Saccharomyces cerevisiae S288C: one gene and its partner. The protein of the gene in region 1 purifies or fractionates together with the protein of each later gene. This does not show direct contact. Each region holds a gene or a part of one and is shown on either strand. Other genes may lie near its edges.

What was found.
Region 2: the proteins of YKL162C (region 1) and YOR385W purify together in Saccharomyces cerevisiae (affinity purification with mass spectrometry, with the first as the bait; one large-scale study listed by BioGRID). This does not show direct contact.

What each region holds. Positions count from the first base shown.
Region 1 is NC_001143.9:146,992-150,882, forward strand, and holds YKL162C (type II protein arginine methyltransferase), read right to left. Parts: upstream 1,848-3,891; coding exon 639-1,847; downstream 1-638. Other genes in the region: putative protein kinase KDX1, read right to left, coding at 2,395-3,696. UniProt on the Saccharomyces cerevisiae protein: Arginine methyltransferase involved in the assembly or stability of mitochondrial NADH:ubiquinone oxidoreductase complex (complex I).
Region 2 is NC_001147.6:1,063,199-1,066,715, reverse strand, and holds YOR385W (uncharacterized protein), read right to left. Parts: upstream 1,674-3,517; coding exon 801-1,673; downstream 1-800. Other genes in the region: FRE5 (putative ferric-chelate reductase), read right to left, coding at 3,068-3,517.

The DNA of each region.
Region 1 (3,891 bases):
ACGTATGACGTATTAGGCAATTTACAAGATTAAACTTAAATTTGCGACGGAGTTTTGAAGTAGAACGAACACCTTACTCATCCGCAACAGGAAATTTTCACGCAGAACGTGCCTAAGAAAAAAAAATCATATGCGTTTACAGGCACAAATGAAGAAAATGACCGGATATGGATATAAGCTTATGGAAGAAATTGCTCCTATTGAGTTAAGAATATGCGAGCGAGACCTGCATAAGGCTAATTATAACTCTTCAACCCAAATTTGTCTTTCTCTTCACACCCATCTCTTATAGTCCCATATATTCATATGAAAGTTCAATGCTTAGACTCAGTGTGTACTTATGATGTCGTTGAAGGCTATTTGGTCTACTGAAAATCCTACCTCGTACGAATACCCTTATAGTATTATTTAAATATGGGGTTACTATTCGCATTCGTTAGAGTGGTGGGAAATTGATATCTTGTTTGGGAGTTGCGAAACAAAAGAGGAGAAGATATGCGCGCTATGTTTTTCTTAAAAGAATGCCTACTGCCTATGAAATGAATATACTAAACGTAAAAGTGTAGATAATAGAAACAAAGATTAAGGTCGCTTACTGTAAAAAACGTCTTCATTTTAATTCAACGAAATAAAAGAAATCACGTGGAGTGTAGCACCGCCAAAGAGCTATTTTTTATGTCTTCTAGTTGAGGCCTATTTCCATTCTGCGACGAAAGTGTGCTTCTCTCACTTGGGCTAATCCATTTTTCAACAAAATCAGCAACGTCTTCGACTTCGCAGCTACTAGAAGAACTGTTAATACCATTATAAATGTTCTGTAACTGTAAGAAGTCCGTCATGAAGCATATTCTTCCACTCCGTTTGTCTGAAAATATTGAATCCGAATATGGCTGTACTATCTGGCTAGATCCCGTCGGCCGTGGGCTTATTAAACTCTTTAATAACGATATTATTGTTGGGCTCGATCTTTGCGGGGTGTCTACAATGAAAAGTCTATGTTCTGGAATATTATTCTTGATTGTCATCAATATCTCAATTAATTTAGTGGGGATATAAAGTTCTTTACCAGGACTTACATGGGATCGATCATTGAACATTTGTTCTAATGCAAGTTCACATGAGTAGTCAATGGCGCTATCAAAGCTCTTGGATTTTTGTCCATTCTTATTGATATCCACAAAGCACTGTTGCCACCCTTTGTCATCTGAAGAGTACCTTACTAAATCGTGGGTTGTGTATTTTATAACATCATTAAGCATCAAAATTTGGATTGGATCCTCTATGTGAAATTTTTTCTGTAAAAAATATGGGGAAACCGGATAATCTTGTACCAAACTGACTGATCCAGGTATTCCGTCTAAGAGCTTCGAAGGTATTTTGTCACACTTGTATAGAGGTACCATGAAATATTTTATTTTCTGGAACATGTTATCAGATAAAGTAGACTTGAGATATGACATTAAATTTTTGCAAATCTGAATTGCTTGGGGTAAATCCGTGTAAATATTCACAATGTTAAGATCGTAATAAGGATAGTCATTTAATTTGTAATTAACCAGTAGCCATTTGGCAAGGCATTTGCTAAATTGTGGCTCACAGTCAAGAATGTTATCAAATGAAAAGGGTTCTTCTTTTGCGGTTGTAGTTACAGGCTTCCTTTGCGTAAAAAAATTTTCTCTTTTCATTATGTTTGGGAAATTTTGCCACTCTATGTAATCTTTCAAAGAAATTCTCGCAGTTTGGCCTCTTCTTATCCCATTTGTAGAGAGTAATTGCTCGAAAGTAAACAGTGGGTAATCAGATTTCAGATGAACTTGAATTCTCAAGGGGTGTAATCTTTTCATCATTCAATCCCGCCAAAAGCACCTTTAAATGATATCAACTTTTTTGTGAAAATATTAGTAAGCTATTTAAAACGGGAAAGAAAACTTGAGAGAGGACTGACGAGGGAATCATGTTTATATTCGGATCATCGCGAATCTACGCAATGGTGTATCCTACTTTCTCACATTTTGGTTTTTCCCGCTTTCGGAAGGAACTGCAAAACCGCCGAGAGGACTTTCTCTTTTTGCAATATTTGAAGTATATACCAATAATTAAGAAGGTGAACAGGCATTTTACATATTCATTATAGATAGTGTATGTGCGCATCTATTAGTTGTGGTTTTCTGCTACAAAAATTTATCGTCTAAATAATTCAAGTTCTTTTTCTAGGTCGAAGAAAAAATCGCTGTCATCCTCATTTGTATTTTGGTTTGTACCATCATTGACATTTATATCGTGACCTGGGGGAGACGATGAAACTGGGCTCATTTTTGTTATATTTGGCTCAGTAGGTCCGTTCAGTAGTTCACTATTTTCATGCTTAGTATCTTGTTTGAAGGTGTTTTCCTTTTAGTTAACACCCTGAAATGAATTAGAGCTTATTCCCATAAGGTTTTGATATGGCTGGGTTGTAGTTAGTGATGGAAGTTGGCTTACATAGGAAAATTCAGGACTATAACTGGGTAAAACTTTCCTAGAAGGATGGACCTGTACAACTTCTTGAGGAATGGCATCCTCTAAAGATAGTGATGATGATGGGGAATCACCGCTAATAGGATGTTTTCTAACAACTTTCCTGAAATCAAATACTTCCTTTATAACTTCGTTTCCTAATTCCGCCATACTTTCGATATGCTCGAATTCGAATCTAAAGGTCTTTTGACATGAGAATTCCTCATCTATATCATGCCACATTGACAAATATGGATGCTCTAGTGCATCCTCTACAGTAATCCTTTTTTTAGGATCAAATTCTAGCATTTTCTTTAGCAATTCAAGCGCTTCTGGATTAGCACCAGGTAGTATGCTTTCAAACGATCTTCCCGGGATATTACCGAACTGAAAGATATAATTATACACCTTTTGAGAGGCAATTTCCTGCAATGTTTCCTCAGGTGGTGTTCCAAGTATTTGTAGAATATGATTCAAATGATCTACATAATCCTTCCCTTCAAACATTGGTTTCCTACCAAGTAGTTCGGCCAAGATACAGCCTGTTGACCAAATATCGACAGCTTTTGTGCATTCTTGATAATTCAGCAAAATTTCTGGTGCTTTATACCATATCGAGGTTATATAACCCTTAATGAAGCCGTCGTTAACCTTGTGGTTTTCTGAATAACTACACGATAGCCCAAAATTACAAATTTTTAGTTGGCAATCACTATTAACAAGTAAGTTTTTTGGTTTCAGGTCACAATGTAAAACATTAGCAGAATGTATGTATTTCAGAGCACACAGTATCTGATATATGAAGCTTTGAAAGTGTGCGTCTTCCAGGCGTTGTTCGGACCTTATAATTTGAGAAAGGTCACATTCCATTAGTTCTTCATATAAATAAACGCCATTTAGTGCCCCATTTGGGTAAAATACTATATCAGTATCGAAGAGCCACACTATATTTGGGTGCCCTCTTAAATGTCTTAGTAGTTTCAATTCACGAAGAGTTCTCTTGCAAGATAGTTTATTGCCAAACGCGTTTGGTATTTTTCTGATAGCCACGTGAGTTTCCTCGTTCGATTCTGTGTAAGTTGAAGAACAAATAAGGCTGTGTGAGCCCCGACCAATCTTACCTGTCAAATGAAAATGTTTATTTAGGATAAAATCTTGGCCGAATGCACGGAAAATACACCTCTCGGTGTCAGTCGCCATTTAATTGTGAATCTTTCTTCGATATCAAACTATTCCAGGCCGAATTAATCTGGCGGTAAGTCACCTTTAGTTATCCTTCCATTTTGTCCCTTTTCATCCAGTCTCAAACGACAATTAGGACTTACATTAAATAGGCTTTTTGCCTAGTATAACATCATAAAAGTACCTTCTTTTGTTTCTTCCAAAAAAAGACAG
Region 2 (3,517 bases), on another chromosome or scaffold:
GCGCCAGTAAAAGCGAGATATGTAGTTCGGGATAAAAATAATTGAATACGCAGTCATCAAACGTAATTGTTGTAGCTAGCATTATGAAGCGTCATCTTCATATCAATAACTTCTTTAATATGCTTATTGGATAGAAAGATTTATGGATTTCAAAAAGCTCCGATGATGATTCTGGATAGAGTTTTGATTTTGCATAAACTTCTAGATAACAATTTCGAGAAAAAACAGCTGTATCTTCTCATATTGTTAAAAAGGTGGGTTCAATTGACGGAGCTTGTTATATTATGCTTGGATTTGTTACAAAATACTTGCTAAGTAATATTAAAAGGATACTCTATGAATACAATCAGTAAAAAGATGTTGGTACTAGCGCCGGTGTTAAAATGCACACAAAATATACCATAATCTTGACTACGTAGGAATAAATCCTGTATAAAGTCAAACCAAAAACAACGTTACCTTGATCTTACTATTGCCAATAAGTATGAAAACCTCAGATTAATTATGGGCAATAATTGCGTATTGAAAAAAAATTGAAAAAATATGTGATGCGAAGTTCTAGCTAATATGTATGTATCTCATTTGGCTAGGTCGTAATGTCTCGGATAAATGCCTGCTCAATTGAACCTAAAGAGTAATCTCGTTTCATTCGACCTCAGTTGCCTGTATAACGTTCCTCTGGGTGTTACACGTCAAGTTATATTTTTCGGATTGGACGGATTGCGAAAAAATCCTTGAGTAATAAGCCACTAGATTGTATCCTACTTCACCATTTTCTATTTCTGTTTCTGTTTCTTTTTTTATTTTCTTTCTCGTTCTATATGCAGCAGATAATGGATTAAAGCTCCCTGACAGGCAAATTCCTGAGTCAAATCAGGAACGGTCGTGATACCAAGAGAGTCTGGCTTTGAGTGTTCTCCAATAATAAGATTGGAGCATTTTGACGTGGATCTAGGGAGTATATCGGAAAAAGTTCTTGTATAATGGCCAATTACGAAATCTGGAGCCTTACTTTTTCCTTGATCTGGTTTTTGCCTTTCCTTTTGGTTACTATTTGAGTAATTGAGCCTGTCCTCATCTAGGAACATCAATCGAAAATGATCGCTGTAGAATTTCACATGCCAACGAAAACGCATACCGTCCAAAGTGGAATATAGATCTCGCATATTACTTTGTTTGATTATTTGGTATTTTTTGACCGGCTGCGTTTTAGAAGGATAGAAGAAATCGTATTTAGTTTCAAAAAATCCTTGATGAGCATAAATTTCACAATATAAAATTTTGCATAAACGAAAAACTTTATCTTGACAAATAACTTTACAATCAGAGTATAAAGGCGGATCTTGCACCCCTTGTAAAACGTACTTGTAGATATAGAAATCCGGCGAGCTCCGAGTAATTTTGCCAATAACGTTATAACTTTGGACAATATGAAAAAGAGGAACACCTACACCATCCGCATCTAGAGTACTGATATTAAAGTTTGTCTGTTTGAATTTGTCATAGGATTGCTCACTTGAGAATACAAAATATCCTCTAGTCCCGAATATACTTGCAATGGGCATATTTCTCTCTCTGCTAAAATGGAGACGTTCAGGAATTGTGTTCCTTTGAGTCTTTTCAATTCTATAATTATCATCATCACTCAATGGTTGACCACTGAAACCACGCATTGTTAATTGGTTGTTTCTTCTTTGAATTATTATGTCTTGGTTTCTACTGCCCGCCTTATATACAGTAGCTCAGTGAAAGTGGCTGCTACAGTTTTTTCGCTGTTTCTATGTACAATGCCTTTGAAAAATTAAGAGGCTTACGAATGAACATGAGCCCCTGTTGCTGACAATGAAGTGATATTTCTATGAAAAGCCTCGCTTTTATAAGCCTTTATGACATACACCATAGGCGATAATCGGGGAGAAAGGTTTTCGTCAAGAGCTCACTATCAGTATTTTCTCAGTAATTCGAGATACCACTATCATAGAAACTTCAAACCCACTGTAAGTGATGCAAGTACAGTGTAACCTTCATTTGTTTGCGAATTGAAGTTTGATTAAATAATAACTTATTACGTAAGTATTTACGAGACATTTGCGTATCGTTGCCCGCTAATTTTCATCGAACTGGCATTGAATGAGAGTAATAAAGGAAGAAAGTTCTTAATTCACTCGCCTAATTTTCAACCTACCTGATGTATTACCCTTCACCGTTGACTGGCAAAACCTGGTTGAATATCGCTCCCTCGGAAAAATGATATCAATCCTGCAATGAGAGATTGTATATTGCGCATTTTCTATATCAAATAAATGAAGAAAAGTGGCAACTTTGACTCTGCAACGAAGACAGTTCTGAGATGAATGGCAGAAAGAACTGCAGCTTCGAAGAATGCTTTTCGGGAAGGTAAATGAATAGCTAGAACATTTTCAATTGGATACCCTGATGTAATGCAAAACTTTTGTTTTCTATCATGCCTAAAGTATCAATTCATATCATGATGAAAAAGGTAACTCTATGTAGCCATCCGTGTTTCAAGATTATGTTCTCGTGATTGACAACTTACGACAGTGGCGCTGTATATGTCAGATGCGACTGTATTGAAACGATCCACATTCTAAAGGGTGCTGCTTATTATTCCTCCGATAAGTACTGTTCCCGTAACCCTGATTACCCTTCGATATTTATTAATCAGGGAGGAAATAATAATAAAGCGAATAGCGATTTTATACTCATGCGTTAAATTTGTATTTTTGCCAACTCAATCTAAATGACTGCAATTTTTCATACCAAGAATGTTAGCAATGTACCCTTTTTTTAAGTAGTGGTGTGCAGTGAAGGATTGTTATTTGGCGATGAAAACTAATTGCAAATCCCCACAAATAGGATTTTTAAATAACAGTAAGGGTGAGGTGTAGTACCTTCGCCGGCTTATTAGATTCCCGCTGATTTTTAAGGACTAAATGCATTGAATATTAATGGAGTACAGTTATTTCATACAGTAATTAAACAAGGTCCGTGTTTTTGTGGTTTTGGTATTCGTAACAGGTTAGCATTGATAGGGCGGATTGAAATGCTACCAATTCTGGAATTCCTCCACGTATTCTATCCATTTGTCACCGTGTTCAAGAACTCTTTTTGCCGTCAACTCTCGTGTCTTGTCTACAAAGCCCTCTGACCCGCAACAAGTGACCAACAAAGATTTTGCACCACTTACTGCTTCTTCAATTATCTCATCGATATTTGGTCGTCCAAAATCAGTAATCATTTCCGCTGATTTCGATGTCGTCAGCAGTCTGCCTTCCGTGCTCATATTAGCAATTGCTCCCTCCTCCGTGTTCGATTCATCTTTTCGCTCTCCTGTGAAGTAAATTTTTGTGTCTATGTTCAACTCTTTTAGCACCATTATCTCTTTGCGATACACTTCTAAGAGATCAAGGTTACGTACACTCCACACAAATTTGATCATTTGATGAGAATCGTTGCTTTTGACCTGGCGACCTGCCTTTATTGCCATCGACAGAGG